3 linked regions of the Notamacropus eugenii genome follow. The protein of the gene in region 2 purifies or fractionates together with the protein of the main gene of each other region. This does not show direct contact. Links are inferred from orthologs where the notes say so. Each region holds a gene or a part of one and is shown on either strand. Other genes may lie near its edges.

Region 1 (7,013 bases), on a different chromosome or scaffold from region 2:
CCAAGACTCTAACATCTGTGGTGGAAGGGCCAGCAAGGATCTGCCCAATGAGTAAAGCATTCACAATGGGAGAGGTAGACAGATAGAGGGGATCAGATTAGGAAGGGATAGACAAGGGACCTAGGCTTTCATTCCAGAGGCTCTTCTGCAGATGCATAAAATGATATCCATGATAGAAGCACAACATGGCGGTAGTCTACATGGTAAACTAGACACAGCAGCCCAGATTGCTACAAGGCCTGTCATCAATTACTTCTGACCAAAAAGCTAGATGAGAAGGATGCTCCCTAGAAGTCTACTTTGATATAATGTTGTATTACCACAGAGAATGTGATGTCTTGAAGCACTGTTGTAAGTATTACTGGACCAGAAAGAAGCTGGGAATAAAAATCACTGGGACAGAGAGTTCACCAAGGAAGCATGTCTAAAAATCCCAGTTTTGGGGAACAGCTCTGATCCAGTTCCTCCCTTATCCAAAACCTACTTCAACGGTTCACAAACACCTTGAGATGAAGCCCAAACTTCCTAGTCAAGCTCAAGACCTTCCACAATTTACCACGCCAGTTTCATTTCTGACTTCTCCCCTTCTTTTTTCTCCCCTGAGGCTTTGCTAATACTTCCTCTGCCTGCAATGCCCTCCTACCCCATCCTGCTAGCCAATGGCTCCCCTTTCAATGTCACCCCAAAATGCTTGCACAGAAAGCAGAGGGAGATGTTTACAGAGACTCTAAGACGTGCAAAGTGTTCCATATTTTTCCACTTGATTATCATGGCAACCCTATGAAAAGGATACTACAGGTGATATTATCCCTGCATCACTCTTGGCTTGCCCATGGTCACATTTAGTAAGGGCTGGATGTGCTGGGCAGAAAATGAAGGTCTCCACTTCTAAAAGACTCATGATGGAAAGTGCTATCCACATCCAGAGAAGAACTGCAGAGCTGGAAAGATGATCAAAGCATGATTATCTCCCTTTTGTTTCTTCTTTCTTGTGGTTTTTCCCTTTAGATCTAATTCTTCTTTACAACATGACGAATGTGGAAATACGTTTAATAAGAATGTATATGTAGAGCCTACATGAGACTGCACACCATATTGGGAAGGGGGAAATGGAGGGAGGGGGAGAAAATTTAGAACTCATAGAAGTGAATGTTGAAAACTAAAAACAAATAAATAAAATCCAAAAAAGAAAAGAAAATCAAGGTCTCTCCTCAAAGCTTTCCTGATGTCCTAACCAAAAGTAATTCTTCTCTCCCAGATTTTCTCATGGCATTTTGCAGACAACACTTCTATAGAGCTCACCTGCCTTGTTTTACAGGTATTTGTGTATATGTCTCATGATCCGGGTTCTTTGAGGAGCGTATATATTTTTAAATGTCTATGATGTCCTGCACATAGTAGGTGATCAGATGTCTGTGACAGAAATGCGGAGGAAAGGATGTGTGCCAGGGGCATAAAGATCTCTCAATGTTAAACTGTTTGCCCAGATTCTTAGAAGACCACTGGAGCTTCAAAACTTGCTGCTTGTCAGTCAGCACATCCTGACTGTGCACATGCACCCGCTAGCACGGAAAGGCAGCAGGGACAGAAGACAGAAGATGGAAGGGTGGAGGGGGACAGGGACCCCCTGCTGACAGCGCGGTCCGCGTGTCACCCAAAGGCAGCGGGGACAGAGGACAGAAGATGGAAGGGAGGAGGGGGACCGGGACCCCCTGCTGACAGCGCGGTCCGCATGTCACCCAAAGGCAGCGGGGACAGAGGATAGAAGATGAAAGGGAGGACGGGGACAGGGACCCCCTGCTGACAGCGCGGTCCGCATGTCACCCAAAGGCAGCGGGGACAGAGGATAGAAGATGGAAGGGAGGAGGGGGACAGGGACCCCCTGCTGACAGCGCAGTCTGCGTTCTTCCAGAGTATACACGGGCCTTCCAGTCACGTAGCATGTTAACACGACACATCGCATGTCCGAGACAACCCTGGGAGGCAGCAAAGCCCCAGGCTGTCCGGGGCGGGGGGGGGGGGGGGGGGGGGGCCGGCACGGGGCAGGGGGGACGAGGACCCGGGGGCCAGTCTGTAGAAAGATGCCTTTATTAAATGTTTACTGTACGGTAGGGAAAAATAAGGAAGACAGACAATACACCTGCCCACAAAGCTCCCATCCCAAGGCGGGGAGGAGAGACAACAATTGTGAGAGGGTCTATAAAGTAACCTTAACCATAAAGGGGGGAAAGGAAACCGGCCTCGAAGGAAGCTGGGGAAAGTAGCCAGGGGCGGGGGTGGGGAGGAAAGGAAGGCATTCCTGGCATGGGGAACGGCCAGTGCAAAGGCAAGGAGTCTGGAAAGACATGCGTGGCTGCGTCAGTGGGCCAGGACCTCCAGGGGTGCAGGGCCCGTTTCAGCTTGCACCCCCACACGGGACCCGAGTCGGCTGTCTGCTAGTCCTGACATCTTGCCGAGACCTGCCGTCTCTGGCCTCAGTTTCCTCTTCGGGTGGTGAAGCTCGGAGGCCCCTCCCAGCGGGTCACTCAGTCCAGGACCCCGGCCGCCACGTGCGTAGGCGGGACTTCCGGCTACAAACACAACAACTCCCCTACTTCCGGGCCCTCTGAAGCCGCCAAAAAATCGACTACGGAGTCTCCCTTCCCCTTCAAAGGCGGGAAGCTCAGGGGCGCTGACGAGCCTCCCCCGGCGCCAGGTGCGCCCACCCCTCCTCTCCCCCGGCCGAGAAGCGGCCGCTCACCTGACGCTGTCGTGGCTGTAACCGATCTTGGCGTTGTAGGCCCCGTTATCCAGCACCAGCGTCGCCATTATCCCTCCGCCCGCAGAGGAAGCTACTGCGCAGGCGCCGTTTTCGCGGGAGGAGGCCCTCTCTTTCCGATCCTCCGGCCCGTCACTACTCTATGGTCTGGCCTGGCGGAGAGCGCCGCTCTCGGCTGGGTGGAGTCTTTTCGCGGCGTTCCCCCATCACGTGGTGAGGAGGGGGCGGCAGATGCTCCGCGCCTGCGCAGTGAGGAGGAGTGAAGTGGGATGTCCGTGTGGAGGAAAAAAGTGAAGGCGGGAACGGGAGGGGGGCGTGTCTCTCTGCGCCTTTCTTCGTGGGATCCTAGGTCCAGAGGAGGAAGGGGCCTTGCAGGCCCTCTAGGCCTCTCCGGCGTGAGACCGAGGGAGCCGGAGCTGGAACGAGTGAATGAACGGAGCGTTTACGAGTGCCCGAGTGCCGGGCACGTCCTGGGGGTACTGACGGAAGCAGGGGAAAAGCGCGGCTTCCGTCCTTTTTTTACACTCAAGTGGAATTCACGCGGAATCCGAAAGGCCGGATTCCAATTCCCCCTGTGGGCGAGTCACAGCCCCTGCCTCAGTTTCCCCATCTGTAAAATGGGGGTGACCAGAGCGCCTCCCCGCCCCCCCCAGGTTATTGTGAGTAAAGGGCTTGGCCGCCTTACAGCGCTGGAGGATCGGTGACGTGCGGGCCAGGCCTCTCTGTCTCCTCTGGGGCTACACGTGGGTCAGGCCCACGAGGGCACCCTGGCCTTCTTAACGCCCATTCAGTCATCAAAGGCTGGGGAAGGATCGAGGCAAACAGAGCCTCCTTCGCCTTCACAGAGGAATCAGGAAGGGAAGACCCCCCGCTGTTACCACATGAGTGGGGCAGGACCGCGGAGATGTGGGGTGCAGAAGGTGGGAAGGTCACCCTGGCTGAGCTGCGCCTGGCTGGTGTGGGTATCCCCTGGAGTGGAGGTCCCCAACCTGAGGAAGAGACCTCAAGGGTGCAGAACCAGCGCCCACCTGGAGGAAGGCTGCTGGGGAGGAGGGGCACATGCTGTATCCATCCATTGAGCAGCAGAGTTGTGCAGAAAGGTTCGTCAGTTTCAATAAATGTATCTGTCCCGGAATAAGTGTGTTCATCCTTTGATGCCAAAGAAGACCGTGCCATCAGAGGAATGAGGACGTGACTTGAACTTGACTTTGTATTCAGTGAGGGAGGGCTGTGCAGGTCACCAGCCTCACTTCTCCAGAGACATCTGGATCCAGTGACCAGATATTCATCAGGATGACTGGAGATGACCCAGGAGGAGGCAATTGGGGTTAAGTGACTTGCCCAAGGTCACACAGCTAGTGAGTGCCAAGTGTCTGAGGTGAGATTTGAACTCAGGTCCTCCTGACTCCTGCACTGGTGCTCTCTCCGCTGCACCACCTAGCTGCCCTCCCAGAATAAGTAGATAGTTGAGTGAGGATGAGCTGGGTTCAGGGATTTTTGCCTCTGACATATCCAGACAGGTATCCAGAGACTTGAGTAAGTCAAGTCTCCCATCCACCCAGGAACCTTTCCAAGACTATCTGCCGCAGAAAAGGTACTGATCTCTATTGATAAAGGAAGTTCCTCGTTGAGTGCTCTCCACTTTCAAGAAATCATAGGGTCAGTTAAAAAATAAAATTCTCTAAAGATAGAGGCAGTTTTCCTCACGAGGAGTGGCCTGTACCAATGAATTCACAGATTGGACCACTTCCTCCCTTTCTGTGTGTTTCCCTCTCTCCATCTCCCTCCCTTTGTTTCCCTTTCTTTTCTCCTCCCTTCTTTCTCTCTCTGTCTCTACACACATACACACACACACGCATTTTAATTCAAATCCACCGAGGCATCATTTTTTTCAAGTCAAATTACCACATCCACATGGCAAATGTATGCCTGCAGGATAAAGTCATACAGTTATAGAACTTCAGAGCTGGCAGCAATCACAAAGATAAATTGGTTGAACCCCTACATTTTACAGATGAGTGAACCCAGAGCCGGGGAAGTGACATGATTCACTTGGGTTCTTCAAGCTAATTAGTGGTATGGTGTGTTGAATATTGTGAAAGTGCTTTGCTAGAAGGAAAATAATCTGTTGGATAAATGTCCTGGAAAGTAAAGGAAATGCCTTTCACTGAAGAAAAAACTGGGCTATGAGAGCAAAGTGCAACACATTTCATCAGACATAGTAGGTATGTTGGTTTTACTGAACTGTTTTTGGTTTTTCTTTTTTTATCTTTCTTATAAGGGCAAACTTAAAATGGGAAGGGGTATGTTCAGAAATAAAACCAATGGAAAAGCCAAAAAAAAATTAACAAGAAAGTATAAAAGAAGAAAGGGAAGTTTATGACATACTTAAGATGGAGAAAAAATAACTTTGAGGAAATGATTTTCAAGTCCACCAAAAATAAAATTAAAAAAAACAAACCTAAAGCTGACTGTTACAGCCTGCCTTTCCCCATCTTGTTAATGCTAGTGCCTTCGCTGTGCTGATTATTTCTGTTTTTTTCCTATTTTGTTTGTACATGGTAACTGACATGCTGTTTACTCCATTAGATTATCAGCTTCTTGAGGGCAGGTCCAATTTTTGCCTCTCTATTCCCAGTAGACATATAGTAGACACTAAATAAATGCTCCTTGGCTTTACTTGAGTTGACATTTCTACCTGCTGAAATCATTCCATTCTTTCAACAGTAGCCAAAGAATCAAACCCTGACATTGTGTGGTTATCAGGACCAGGCTTGGTCCAATGGGAGGCATAAGAAAGTGCACTGAGTTCCCTTTGTGATGAGATTGAAAACTCTAAGTGTAGACTGAATTGTATCCTGTGGTCTTGTTGATGTATTCATTACTCTTGCTGAGCTGGTTTTCACCTTTTCTTCTGTTCTGCAGTCATTCATTCAGTGGACACTTCCAGCTCTGGGTCTGTGATCCTGTCCTCTCCCTGGGCTTCTGTTTGCATAGGACTTCATGGCCTCCAGGGCCTCCTCCTCTGATCATGGAACATGTTGAGGAAAATAAGGAAAGAGGGAATAGGTATATTGGAAAATAAAGGTAATATACAAACAGAAAACCATCAATTTTTTAAAATTTAACTCTTCCCCTATTTCAAGCCCAGCAGAACCTCAGGAAGCTTTTCCCAGTTACCCCCCCCCCCTTAGATGTTATACCCTACATCCTTTGTCTTCCCCCATACTACAATATGAGCTCTTGAATTAATGAAATAGTTAAAATATATAAGGCATTTTAAGATTTGTAAAACACTTTAAAAATTTCCTGATTTGAGCCATGCAACCCTGGGAGAGAGGTACCAATGTTATCCCCATTTTTCAGAAGGAAAAATGAGGCTGATGAGGTTAAGTGACTTTCCCACAGTCACATACAAGCTAGTATACATTTGAGACAGGATAGAACACAGACTCTAAGCCTACCACTCTATTCCATATGCCATCTAATTGCCAATTAGTGGGATAAATGAAAAAAGTAACTTGAACTTATTAAGCGCCTACTATGTGCCAGGCAGAACAACTAGGGGCCCAAAGTAGAGAGTGCCAAGCCTGGAGTCAGGAAGACTCCTCTTCCTGATTTCAAATCCGGCCTTAGACCCTTACTAACCATGTGTCCCTGAGTAAGTCACTTAACCCTGTTTGCCTCAGTTTCCTCATCTGTCCAATGCGCTGAAGAAACAATTGGCAAACCACTCCAGTATTTTTGCCAAGAAAACCCCAAACAGGGTCAGGAAGAGTTGGACATGAATGAAAACTCAATAAAAATATGCCAGGTACTCTGCAAAGTGCTGGAATAGAAAGGCCAAAAAAAAAAAGTCCTTGCTCTCAGGAAGCTCTTAGTTTAATGGGGGGAGGTGACATGTAAACAACAGTGTATATATAAAAGACAGGATAAATTGGGAGCAGTCTCAGAGGGAAGACACTAAGATTAAGGAGGGCTGGGAAAGATTTCTTGCAGAAAGTGGCACTTTAGTTGAGACTCCAAGCAAGTCAAGGAACTTAGGCAGAGATGAGGTGGGATAGTGTTCCAGGCATGGAGAACAGCCAGTGAAAATGCCCAGTCAGGAGATGAAGCAGCAAGGAGGCCAATGTCACTGGATCAAAGGAAATATGGTGGGAATAAAGTGTAAGAAGATTGAAAAACTAGAAAAGGCCCAGGTTATGAAAAGCTTTAAAAGCTAAACAGAAGGTTCTATATTTGACCCTAGAGGTAA
Region 2 (6,229 bases):
AAAGAAATTCTATACAGGTATATAAGACTCATTCATTATTAATAGCTATCATCCTTCCTTCATAGGCCGCTATCTATAGTTTGGTCTACTTCATCCAAGGATTATGTTTCAGGATGAATAGCCTATGTCTCCACCTACCATTAATTTTGTGATAAGCTATACCACCATCTTTTGCTTAAGATGATGTCTGGCAAAGTTATGACAGTGGGGACGGAGGTACATAGGTATGTACACAAACTGAGGAGAAGACCCTGTTGACGAACTTCTCAACCTTTGATAAAAAGTGTCATAACTTTTAATAATTTTTAATGCATCTTCTATTTCTATTAGAGCCACAGATGTATTTGATTTGCTTCTGGTTGAACTTATTTTGTATTCTAGTTGATCAGGAGAAACCTATGTTTAAGTTACCAGGCCTCCTATTTTCAAATGGCTCATTTGAGTTAAGATTATTTGGATCCAACAGACCTAAGTCTGTGCTACAATACACGAAAATTCAAGAAACAAACTTGTTTTGGATATGACCTTTATTGAACTTATCCACCAGAGTGTAAATAAAAGTCTGTACAAAACCAAATGTTTGTTACTATAACTTCTGCATCACAATTAATATCCAAACAGATTTTTAAAAACAGTCAACTCAATCAAAACCCACTACTTCAGAATCAATAGCTTCTTTGAAGCCACAGTAACACTTAAATATGGTTAAGACTTCAATGCAGAAATTTGGTTAGCTGGAAAGCTAAGTAAGCTTCCAACTTAATCAAAATAGAATTACAAAAAGGCAAAATTGTGGTTTTCACAGAGATACAGTCCACTGGAAATCACCAACACTGGACAGTTGTTAAGAGTATTTAGAGTCCTGAGATAACATGGAATCCAGGCATCCTTTAAACAGTCTTCTGTTGTCCTTTCTTTCCAATCAGAGATTTATGGATGTGTGGAATCACACCTATAAGAGTGTTAGAGGATTAGAAGCTTTCTTTTTTTTTAAGGTTCCATGCAAGTTAACTATTTAAAAGCACCAAAAAAGAATCTCTATTTGCCCTTCTTTAGGTTCTTAACTAAAAGGTTACTTTGTCCAACTGCCATCGAGAGTAGACTCTATCTTGTTAATCCAGTTTGTTTCAGGGAGCTTCCACACACAGTACAAACTGCCTGAATATGAAGGGGCTCTCAAAGTCACTCGTGATTCCTACGCAAGAAGCAAGCGCAAGCCCGACCCAAACTTTGCAAGGTAGGTAAGTGGGCTACGTACCACCCCCGGCAATGGTGGCCTTAATCAGCGAGTCCAATTCCTCGTCCCCACGGATGGCGAGCTGCAAGTGGCGAGGGGTGATGCGCTTCACCTTCAAGTCTTTCGATGCATTTCCTGCCAGCTCCAGGACCTGCGTGGGGAGAGCCGGGATGCGGTTGCCGTCACCGCGTCCCGCACCTCCTCGGCTCTGCTCCGTGCGGGCGCCCCTCCCCGCCCCCCCCACCCCCGCGGCGCCCGGCCCCCTCACCTCTGCAGTCAGATACTCCAGGATGGCTGCGCTGTACACGGCGGCCGTGGCGCCCACGCGTCCGTGGCTCGTCGTCCGCGACTTCAGATGCCGGTGAATGCGGCCCACGGGGAACTTGGAGAAAACACACCCCCGAGAATGCACAATTAAGATCCGGCCGGGCGGGGCCCCTCCCGCCAAATCCCGACCCGGGCACACGTGACTGCCCCGGCCCACGCGCGAGGAGACCCGCCCGCCCGCCCGGAGGGGCCATCCCCACTGACCTGCAAGCCGGCCCTCTGCGAGCGGGAAACCGCCTTTGTCTTGGCCTTTCCGGAGTCCTTCCCAGCCTTCCCGCCAGCCTGGAGGGGGCACACACCCATGCGGGCGGGAGGAGGGGGCGGGGGTGGAGGCGCTCAGCCCGGCCAGGACCCCTCCCCCTCCGCGGGGCCTCCCAACGCCCGGCCGGAGCATGGCCCCGGGCGCGAGCGGGCGGGAGGGGGGGCCGGCGGCGCTCCACCAGCCGCGCGCGGGCCGCCGGGAGCGCGCGCCGCCGCGCACGCGCGCCACCAACCGTCGCCGCCGCCACGAGCCCGGAGGCGGCTCCCTCCCCCCAACCGTCCCCCTCTCCTCTCCGAAGCCGAGCAGGCGCGCGCGCGCGCGCCCCAACCGCCGCTCCCCTCCCCAGTCCCCGGGGGTAACGGCGTCCTCCCCCGCTCCCCTCCCCCTTCTCCAGCCCGCGGAATCCTTCAGGCCCCTGTGCTAAGTTTACCATTTTGAGTTAAGCGTGAACCTCTCCCGCACACACGCTCACGGCCGAGAGTGGACCAAGCAAACACCCGGGCAGAGATCCCGCCGGCTACTGCTCTGGCGCACCGCGATTCAAACTGCGCTGTCTCCCGCCTTCCCCGCTCCCTTTATACTGCAGAATGTTCCCTCATCCGGGAACTCGGATCGCCCCCCGCACCAATGGCTGCCACTCGCCCTGGAGACGCGTCCTCGCCGCCTCAGCCAATGAGCTCGAGAAGCCGGAGGACGTGGGGGCGGGCTTCTCGTCGCTCTAGCGAGAGCTGGTGTCAGGGTGGGGGCGGGGCGGGGGGGGGAAATGAAAGGGAAGGCCGGAGGAAGGGAGGGGGAGAAATGGAGCAAGCGAAGGCGCTCCCGCAGAGCAGCCAGCCAGCCGGCGTCACGTGACTGGGGGCGGCGCGGAGGAAGGGCGCGCGCCGAGGCTCCCCGCCGGGGCGCCCGAGCCTGCCGGGCCCGGCCGACTCCCTTCCCCCACGCCCTTGACTCTGAGACCGGCCAGCGTCGCCCGCTCACCCGGCCGGCCGACGGGGCCCGGAAGACAGCCTCCCCGCGTCCCGACTAGCCGCGGCGGTGCCGTCGATAGGAGCCCGCAGGCCTGCACGGGCCGCAGTAGGGGGTCCCCGCCGAGCCCCGAGGAAGCGGCCACAAAGGAGCGGGGAGCGAGCGGCCGCCGAGCCACCGCCGCAGATGCGCCGCTTCTCTCCCCTCGACGCTCGGCTGCGGGACGTGCACGTCTGCCCCTCGCCGACCGTGGGCACGGCCCGCGGAGTTGGTGCGGGGCCGGCGTCCCCTCCTCGGGCTGCCTCCTTGGCTGCCCGCGACGGTGCGCCGTTCGTTCTCGGAGGCCCGGGCCTGGAGGCTCCGCTTGGGGCTGCTTTGACAAGTCGCCGAGAGGACTCCCCTCCTCCGCGGGGCTGCGGGGGCGAGCTCCCGGTGCTCGGGCGGAGGCCGGCGCGGACCCCCGTGCTGGACAGGGATCGGGCCCTCCCTTCCGCCCGGTACTCGCGGTGGTGCCGGGAGCGCAGCCCAGCCCTGAGAGCTCCGATGGAAACGTGATGCCGTGCAGAGCTGGGGGCGCTGAGCCCGGAACCGGCGCCTGCGGTCCGCCAGGCAGCGTTGCGCACTGGTCACTGCTCTCGTTATTTTGCCGAAAACCGTGTTGGAAGAAGAGAAGTGGGGAGATGCTGGATTTCGCCCTCGCCTCGCTCGCCTCTCCCTGGTCCTGGGATGACCGGCGGGGGACGGTTGTGTTCCCTCCCCGGAGTTCTTCCTGGAACCAGACCGCTTCGGTGGGACTGAGGACCCCAGGATCGTGGCTCCGAGGAGTCCGGCCACGCGGTCTGAAGGTGGCTCCTAGCTCCCCAGGGCATGCCTTTAGACCAGGTGTGGATGTGCTCAGCTCCAACCTGTTGTCGCTAGTGCCAGAACAACTCTGGGCCGATGGACGGGCTGGCCTGGCTCCTGTAGGCGCGGGGAGGACTGCACTTGGATTGTTTCCGTTTTGTCGACATCCAGAGCGATGCCAAGCCTGTCCGCCCTTCGTTATAAACCGTTCCTATCTCATACTACTCCCAACTAGATGGTGCGATGTTTATGTGTTTTGTGTCTCTTATCAGTAAAAATCATTAACACTTGCTGTGCATTCCCTGAAGGACCATGATTTCTGTTTCTTGTGTTTTTCTGGGAGTATCAAACCACTCTGTGAACATAAATATGAGTACGTGTTTAATAAATGTTGGGTGGCTTGTTAACTTCATTGATCTGGCTATTTAGTGAGTTGGGCTAAGAATGGGAAAGGACTTCAGAGGTCAGGGATTAGGAATCCCTGATGTGATCATTGAAGACTGTCTCCCTCCATCTTCATGCAACCTGATTCCAGCCTCTGCTTCTAGGACCTGGTGGCTTGGTATCAACCTGGTACCCTGGAATTTTCAAAGCCCTCCATGTATAACTCAGAACCCAGCCCCAGCGCTAACCTTGCCCCAGTGCTCTCATAGGTAGTCTCCATACCTTTCCCCTTTCCATCTCTAGCTCTTCGATCAGTAATCAAATCAGCTTCCCAGGTCAAAACACCCTTCCAAGGTCACCACTTACCCACTTGTGTTGTCTATTCCTATTAGAATATAAACTCCCTGAGGGCAGAAACAGTTTGCCTTTTTGTATCTCCAGTGCCCTGGAATATAGTAAACACTTAATACACTTTTTTTTAAATTCTTGGAGAACTTACTACTCAGGCAGCCCATTGAGCTTTGGAATGGCTCTCCTTGTTAGAAACCTTTTTCTTCCATCAAACTGGTCTGCCTGCTACTCTGAAGCATATGATCATATAATTTTGAGCTAAAAGAGAATTTAGAGATAATCTAGTGTATTATAGGCCAAGCCTTAAGCAGATTCAAGGTTTAAAATATAACTGGAACATAAAACACAAATGAAAAACCAACTTTACTTAGGCGGGTTTTAAAAGGGCATAATTCCAAAGTTAAAGGGATAGAAAATATTACCTTTGGTAGTCACCACAAACAACCATCATCCAGAAAAGAAGGCATCAATTTACCTCTCCCCCCCCCCCAGGTAATTGCAGAATTGAGGACTCGGTTCCCCCTCAGGGCTAAGCCTCTTTATATTTCAAGGGTCAGAAACCCCACCCTCCCCATCCCTTTCTTCTTAAGGGGCCAATCTACTTTATCAATTGCTTGAGATGCCTAGTGTATGTAGCACTAGAAGGGGCCATGGAGGAGCAAAAAGAAGGGAAGAGTAAAGTGGGAAGGATCAGTCATCCCCAATATCTCATTCACACAAAAACTAATACAGTTCCTTCCACGGAGTTTAGCTCATTCATTTCATAGAGAGGCACCAAAAGGCTCTAGATGGGCTGTGAATCCATCAGTTGCATAAGTAGTGAGCATTAGAGCTTGGATGTCATTTCAGGTTCTCTGACTCCAAAGTCTGACCTCATTAATACACAAATTCTGTGTTGTTCCTAGTTCTGCTAGCCAAGGTGTGGTCTGTCTAACTGTCTAACTCCTCTTCCAAGATCACTCTTCAAGTATTTAACACTGTTATCATTTACATCCAAAGCATTCTCTTCTCTAGACTAAACAGATTTGCCCAACTCCTTCAACCAATCCTTGTATAAAGTGCCAGGCTAGAGTGCCAGACTTGGAGTCGGGAAGACTCACCTTCGTTCAAATGTGGCCTCAGACACTAGTTGGGAGACCCTGTGCAAGTCTCTTAACCCTGTTTGTCTCAGTTTCTCATCTGGAAAATGAACTGGAGAAGGAAATGACAAACCACTCCAGTATCTTTACCAAGAAAACCCCAAATGGAGTCATGGAGAGTTGGACATGACCAAAAAATGACTGAGAGAGACATATTCGATAAGAATGACAGCTATACCTTCATACAAGTCTTGAGAAATTGAGAGCATTCCTGTTCAATATATAATTTATTCAAGTCTGATACAGTTTTAGACTTTTGATTGAACAAAATTACAAAAATATTTGAGGGCCCAACAGTATGGACAGATCTAAAAAAACATATCATTCCTATATTCCAGGTCCTTACTTGAAAGCTAGATTAGAGAACTAGAAAGACATATGACAAGTGGGATGCCAGTGTAACAATACAAGAGCTCAGTTAAAAGACCATTATTATAATAGTCTAAGTGTGAAGTAACAGGATCCTGAACTATGGTTGTGACAGAGGGAAGAAAAAGAAAGTGAAAGAAAAAATTAATAGGATTTAGCATCTGATTAGATAATAGAAAGGGAAGGAAGGGGGGAAGAAGGTGTGTCCAGAATGACTCAGGTTTCCAATCTAGATGACTAGCACAGCCATGATGCTGCTGTCAACAGAAATAGGGCCATCCTGAGTAGGATCAAGCAGAAGATGAATTCCATCTTAGATATGTCCATTTAAAGTGACAGCAGATATTTTCA
Region 3 (7,310 bases), on a different chromosome or scaffold from region 2:
TACATCAATCAGATGAAGGAGATAGGATGTTTAGTCTAGAGAAAACTAAGGGAGGATGTGGTAACTGCCCTCAAGTACCTGAAAGGCTCTCATGTGGAAAAGGAGTATTTGTTGAAAAGGATTATTTGTTTGGCTTTGTCCCAGAGGAGAGGAATGGGAGCAAAGAATGCAACAAACAGAAAAGCAGATTAATATTAAATGTAAAGAAATATCTCCTAACCATTGGCACTATCCTAGAACAGGAATGTGCTGTATGTGATGAGTTCCCCATCAATGGAAGCATTCAGTCAGAAGGCTGAGTAAAGCACTTGTCAGGAACACTGTGGAGGGGATTCCTATTTGGGCACAGGTTGGACTAGATGAACTCTTGAGATCCCTGGCCAACTCTATGATTCCTCTAAATCTTCGGGATCTGTTTTAAGACGAACTGCTGTTTCATGTGAACCATTCCATTCTGTACCCATACAGTTTAAGTTTTTAACCCTGGAGCTGTATTTTACATTTATGTCTATTAAATTTCATGATACATCAATAGGCCAAAAATTTTGAAGCCTAAGTATCTCATCCAAAACTTTCTCTTAGCTTAGGGTTATTTACAAATTCTATAAATAAGGTATATCTGTGCCTTCATCCCCATCTTTGATGAAAACTATAGAACAGCAAGAAACAGAAGACAGAGCCCCAGGTGAGGAGATCTATTAACCCAACATTTTTTGGATAAAAGGCTCCATCTAGATTTCCGCTTAACTATGCTATCATGGAGCTCTCTTCATCTGTATATAAAGATCTCATAAAGAACTGTTATACCCTTTACAGAAATCTGGGTTCACTATGGCTAAAGCATTCCCTTGACAACCTCTTTAAAAAAAGAACAAACCAAACATGGAATGCAAAGAACACCAAGCTTGGAGTCAGATGACCTCAATTTAAATCCAGACTTTTTTGCTTACTACTTATGTAACCCTGAGTAAATCACAACTTTCTGGACCTGCTTTTCCTTATACATACTATAAAAAGGCTAGACCACATGACCTTTACAGCTCTAAATTTATTTGCCCCATCCAACTCTAAATTTATGATCCTAAGAAATGAAGTCAGTCTGGCATAATAATAACAATTGCTAGCCTAGCGTTTATATCATGCTACTATGTACCAGCAGCTGTGTTAAGTAAGCACTTTACAAATGTTACCTCACTTCATCTTCACAAGAACCAGGGGAAGTTGTTGGGGAATCTGAGGCAGAGGCCAAGGGACTTGCCCAGGATCACACAGCTAGTGTGCGAGGTTGGATTTGAATTCGTCTCCCTGACTCCAAGTCCAGTGCTCTACCAACTGAGCCACCAACTGCCTCTTGTTCTTGGTAATTACCATCACTTGTTCGCATGTAATTATATGTTCACTCTGCTCATCACTTCCCTAGTGTTCACAAACTGATTGTTTAAATAACCTCCAAACTGCTTAGGGACCCTTCTCAATCTCCTCACGGATAAGAACACTACCCCTGTAGTCCAAAAGACCCAAAGATTGAATCTCACTTCAGACCTTTATTAGTGCTATGACTCAGAATCAAATCTGTAAAGGAACTATGCAGCGCAACTTGAAGTCACCAAGACCTAAGGTCAAATCTGACCTCAGATACTTACCCTCTCTGTGTTTCAGGTTTCAGGTTTCCCATCTGTAAATATGGTTGTTGTGGGGATAAAATAAGAGTATACTTGTAAAGTGCTTCATAAATGCTTATGATTATTTGATCTCTTGGAGCCTCAGTTTTCAGTTACCTCATCTATAAATGAGGATGGTAACAGCACCTATCTCATAGGACTGTGTTGGACTTAATGAAGGATCTGGCACATAGTTGTTTGTCCTTCCTTCTCCATGACATCAGGAAGGTGATGTCATGATGCACAAGTTAATTGGATTTAAGTGAGGAAGGGCTGTGCAAAATCACCAGCCTCACTTTATCCTTCAGAGTCATCTGGGTCTGGGTCAGGCAGGTGGTGCAGGGGAGAGAGCACTGGTCCTGGAGTCCAGAGGATCTGAGTTCAAATCTGCCCTCAGGCACTTACTATATCTGTGTGACCCTGGGCAAGTCACTTAACCCTGAGTGCCTCCTCCACCAAAAACACAATCACTGGAACCTCCTGGCACATAATAAGCATAAATGGCAGCCCTTGTAATCCTAGTTATATGGTGTTTGGCAATCTTTAAAATTTACTGTAATTTCTAACGGAATAGAGGATGATGATCATTACGGCTAGCATGAAGCGCCTTCCAAATATTCTTTCATTTATTCCCCCAACAACCCTGGGAGGTAAGTGCTATTATGAAATAATACTTATAAAGCACTCCATAAACGCTGGCTATTGGTGTCGTCATCATCATCCCCACTGCGGACAGATGAGGAAACTGAGGCAGGCGGGAGGGAAGTCACTTGCTCAGGGCCACACGGCTGATGAATGTCAGAGGCTGCACTGGAACCCAGGCCTAGCGGATGCCTGATGCCCCGGCCGGGGAAGGATCCAGAAATACCGGCCTGGGCCTCCTCTCCCGACAGCTGTCCCAGGCAGGGGCAGCGGAGGGCGAAGGCCGAGGGGAGCCCCTCCCCCCTGCTCGCCACTCTCCGATCCCCCTCCCCCTCCCCCGGCCCTTTTTCAGACCCCTTCGCGCAGCCCCGCCCCCTCCCTGGGCCCAGCTCTTGCCTCTGTGAACCCCCCATAAGTGGTCTGGTAGAATTCATCTTCCTCCTCTGCCTCCAAGAGCCCAGACAATCGGTTCCCAGCGGTCTTCCGGGGTGCTCGGCCCCCAGCCAAGCTCATCCCTCCTCCGGCTCCAGCCGTCACCGGCGGCGGACCCGAGCTCGCTCGGCGCTCGGTGCTTTCCGCCTGCCTAGCGTCGCCGCCGGAAAGGAGAAATCGTTACAGGCAGAAGCAGCCGAGCGCCGAGCTGAGGATAGAGCCGAGCTCCGGAGCGGCCCCGCCCTGCTCCTCCACCCCTCCCTCTCCGTAGCCCGGCCTCCTGGCACGGAGCCTCGACAGCTCCGCCCCCTTCCCTCTAGGGCCGCCTACTTCTCCTCTCCCCGCCCCTCAAGCTCTCAGCAATTTCCAGTAAACTAGGACGTGAGAGGCACTGGGTCTGGGTTCAATCCGTTTTTGGGTGGTGGCATTAGAGTTGGAAGAGTGTGTCATTCAGCCTCTTTTAAAAGAACAGAAACGGTCACCCAGCGAATCAGTGTCAGAAAGGCTTCTCATCCCCAGGCTGGGGCTCTAGCACAAGGCGCAGACGTCTGCCAAAGCAGGGTTTGTCAACAAAGCTGTTAAAAGTGATGTGGGGACGAGGTCGAAACGAGGAAATGCTTATGTAAAATAATGCTACAGATATAGAACATGGGCATGAAAATGGCACCTGTCATACGCCTGGTGTGGAAATCAAGATAATATTTTAAAGCGCTTGGCACGGTGCCTGACATAATAAGACCTATATATAAAAGTCAACCATTATTATCATTATTGTACAAGGCTCTTTGAGATCTTTTATGTTCATTATAATTCCTCTGGAAATGATGATGAAGATAGCATTTGTACGTAGCACTTTAAGGTTTGCTATGTATATATACACATAGATGTATGTGTACAGCATATATAAAAACACATGCACGTGTATATATAACACAGTATTACAATAACTAGCTTCTTTTAAGCCTCGGAGGGCATGCAAGGTCCCTATGATTTTTCTTCTCTTCAGCTTTAGGGAGAATATTTCAGATGAAAAGTTATAAATTCAGTCACAATTGCTTCAAGCTCCTAAGTAAAAAAATTCCTAACATTGAGATAGAGATTGGACTATTTGTCTAACTTCATATATACATATATGTACATGTACATATACATATATAATATAATGTTAATATATTCAGTAATTAACATGCAGGCATATATTATATATACACATGTAGTTAACCCATAGCCTCTTTATTATTTAGGCAAAATTCAATTTACTAGAAATATTCGAGTAACAATACAGCAGCTTATACTGTAGTGTCTGTGGATAGACCAGCATGAAGTAAGTAGTCCCTGTTCAGACTTGATTCTGCCTGATTGATTCAATCAAGACGTGTTCTTACCTTAAAAAAAAAAAAAAAGCAGTTACTTTTAATTGGGTGAGGTAAATCAGTGGAGTCTGACCCTTATTCGGATGTATAAAGATCAAAAGATAATTTCACAGAATTGCAGAGATTTAGAGCTGGAAAAGATATCACAGTGGGCAAACTAGTCCAACCTGTATGGGATAACTAGGTTAGAGTTTAATGCTATATTTTTCCTGTAAATTTACTTCAACTTTGTAATTTTTAAAAACATAATTGAGGGGAAAAAAAGATTCCTAAGCTTCTTGCCTCTCCTCCATCCCTTCCACCTGTTCTTAATCCAATATGTTTTGGAGATCAATCAACAATGCCAAACTGTCTCTCATATATACGGGATTATTTCTATGATTCTTTTTAGAGGTATCATGCCATTTTCCCTTTTCTAGTGGAAATGGAGATTAGCTCCTTTTCCTACTTCCTAAGGAGTGCAAAACCAATCTGCCCTACCCTTTCCCCCACACCCTGCCACATCATCCTGTGTCCTCATGTGCTATGCCAGGAATGTTGCTAGGGAAGATCAGGGATATGACTCAAACAGAACGTTGCAGAGAAGAGGGTGGGGGGGCTGCCTTGCCTGAAGAGCATACTGCCCCTGCATGAGTCAAGATTGAGAAGGAGGAATCCTTCATTATGTCCTTGCCCATTCCCTGACCTCTCTTGTTTAGTTATGAATATATAATTACTCTTTACTCTGATTCCTTTTCTAATACATGGAGAGAAAATTAAATTTCCTAGGCCAGAAAGAAACTGGTAGACAGAGGCGGTTTTTGTCATTCAAATCCCACTCTCTTCTGGATCCAGAGGTATTGCTGAGGGTGATGAGTTTCCTTCATATGGCTGGATTCCACTTTGGTTAGAGTCATGGAGATATGTCCAACTTTAATTTAATCTCAGTTTTATTCTCATATCTGCTGATTGTAGAAGTGACTCACTATATGAAAGAAACCCTAGCCTCCTTGGGCAGTATTATTTTCTCTGTGAGAATTTTCATAGGCATGTAGAATCTGTTTTCAAAATCTCCTACTCTCGTACCAGCTCACAGGATCATATCCAGTCCTCTCCTTTTATAGGTGAAATAGCAGAACCCTGGAAAGGTTATGGACAGCTGGTGGTACAGTGGGTAGAACATAGGGCTTCAAGTCAGGAAGACTCATCTTCCTGAGTTCAAATTTGGCTTCAGACACTTACTAGTTTGTGTGACCCTGGGCAAGTCACTTAACCCTGTTGGCCTCAGTTTCCTCATCTGTCAAATGAGCTGGAAATGGCAAGCCACTCCAGCATCTTTGCCAAGTAAACCCTAAAAGGGGTCACGAAGAATCGGGCATAATCTAACAAGAACAGAAAATTTAAATAATTTAGTTAAAGCTAGTCCAGCCAGGACCATAACTCAAGTCCCCTGTCTGAATCTAAATTCAGTAATTTTTCCAATATACCAAACTACCCTCCCTCTTCCCTCCTTTGCAAAGCTTGGTATGGGCAACCCATTATTTGGGGGGAAACCAAAACAAACAAACAAAACCAAAAAGTCCAGTAGATGGCAGCAAGGAGCAATTACTATAGTTCCTGACTTCTCCTAGGCGTAAGAGATAGCAAAGTTCATTTGGTGCATATTGGTTGGTTGTTGTCCTTCCTTCTCCAAGACCAAAATGACATCACTATGTTAGAGTCAGGTTACAATGCCTCTAACTGTGGCTGATCAGACCCACTCAAGCTCGAATTGTTCTAATACAGATCGGACACAAATATTCTATGTGAATATTTGGGGTGGATTCTGTAAATGTGTAAATACACATCTTGCATTTTTTTTTTTTTTTTAGTAATTTCAATTTTGCTTTGCTCATAGAGCACAGCACACTTTCTGATGTGCGCACACCATGCTGGGTGGTCCTGTGCCAGTGTCTCCCATGTCACACAATCAATTCCAAAGTTCTTTTTTTGTTTGGTTGGTTTTTTAAATTAATTTTTAGTTTTCAACATTCACTTTTATAAGATTTTGAGTTCTAAATTTCCTCTCTCTCCCCTCTCTCCTCTCCAAGACAACATACCATCTGATACATATACAATCATCTTACACATATTTCCGCACTAGTCATTTTGTGAAAGAAGAATCAGAACAAAAGGGAAAAACCATGAACAAAAATGAACAAAAAAGAAGAAAAAATAGTATGCTTTGAACTGCATTCAGACTGTAGTTCTTTCTCTGGATATGGATAGCGTTTTTCATTAGTCTTTTGGCAATTCCAAAGTTCTTAGGAAAGACATTGTACTGTTTCTTCAGACCACCATGTGAATACTTGCCCTGTGTGAGTTCTCCATAAAACAGTCTTTTAGGCAAGTGTACATTTGGTAATTGAACAATGTGATCAGTCTGTTGAACTTTCACTCTGCAGTAGAGCTTGGCAGTTTAGTCTTAGGAAGGACCTCAGGGTCCAGTACCTTATCCTGCCAGGTGATCTTCAGAATCTTCCTAAGACAATTCAAATGGAAGCGATTCAGTTTCCTGCCATGGAGCTGGTAAAGTGTCCATGTTTCACAAGCATAGAACCGTGAGGTCAGCACAATCAGTCTGTAGACCTTCAGTTTGATAGTCTAATATCTTTTCTTTCCCACTCTTTCCTTGGGAGCCTCCCAAACACTGAGCAAAGTTCTGGCAACGCGAGCTCCAATCTCATGATCAATATGTACATCTCTAGAAAGCATACTGCCAAGGTAAGCTTATATAATCGTGGGGTAAATGAATATAGGGAAGAAAAGATCTTCTCCCTTCTCCAAATTTCCACAATACTTCTGGCAGACTTTGTTGGAACCGAATGGACAAAGACGACAGGATGGAAATGTCAGCGAACTCTCTGTCTTGTGCCTATTTTCCTTTGAACCTACAAGAACTCTTGGCTGAGAACAGGAGCTGCGTGATGGCTTTTGGATGGGGTTAGATGACCTGTGATAGGACCCACTGACCACGGCCTTCTGACCCCGGCGATCTGCACTCATTCAGAAGCTTTGCTTGGCCAGTATGTGATCGGGTGTGTTCCGAAGCTTGTGGGAGAGGCCTGACAGCTTCGGAATGAGTCTAATAAACGTGTCGCGAATGAATGAATACGCGGGAAGATGATCCTGAGGAACATCAGGAGGGAGGGCCCCACGTAGATCTCGGAGGCGGGGCTCTTGG

What was found. Proteins that work in one complex are often made in the same cells at the same time.
Region 1: the proteins of H2AZ1 (region 2) and ACTR6 purify together in Homo sapiens (affinity purification with mass spectrometry; 4 studies listed by BioGRID and IntAct, with this or other methods). This does not show direct contact. The link is inferred for Notamacropus eugenii from reciprocal best matches to the Homo sapiens genes H2AZ1 and ACTR6.
Region 3: the proteins of H2AZ1 (region 2) and VPS72 purify together in Homo sapiens (affinity purification with mass spectrometry; 4 studies listed by BioGRID and IntAct, with this or other methods). This does not show direct contact. The link is inferred for Notamacropus eugenii from reciprocal best matches to the Homo sapiens genes H2AZ1 and VPS72.

What each region holds. Positions count from the first base shown.
Region 1 is NC_092874.1:283,108,118-283,115,130, reverse strand, and holds the start of ACTR6 (actin-related protein 6), read right to left. Parts: upstream 3,023-7,013; 5' UTR 2,809-3,022; coding exon 2,741-2,808; intron 1-2,740. UniProt on the Homo sapiens protein: Required for formation and/or maintenance of proper nucleolar structure and function. Plays a dual role in the regulation of ribosomal DNA (rDNA) transcription.
Region 2 is NC_092878.1:137,931,122-137,937,350, forward strand, and holds H2AZ1 (histone H2A.Z), read right to left. Parts: upstream 1,883-6,229; 5' UTR 1,868-1,882; coding exon 1,769-1,867; intron 1,620-1,768; coding exon 1,506-1,619; intron 1,389-1,505; coding exon 1,259-1,388; intron 953-1,258; coding exon 891-952; 3' UTR 510-890; downstream 1-509. UniProt on the Homo sapiens protein: Variant histone H2A which replaces conventional H2A in a subset of nucleosomes. Nucleosomes wrap and compact DNA into chromatin, limiting DNA accessibility to the cellular machineries which require DNA as a template.
Region 3 is NC_092873.1:305,027,759-305,035,068, forward strand, and holds the start of VPS72 (vacuolar protein sorting-associated protein 72 homolog), read right to left. Parts: upstream 3,023-7,310; 5' UTR 2,817-3,022; coding exon 2,700-2,816; intron 1-2,699. UniProt on the Homo sapiens protein: Deposition-and-exchange histone chaperone specific for H2AZ1, specifically chaperones H2AZ1 and deposits it into nucleosomes.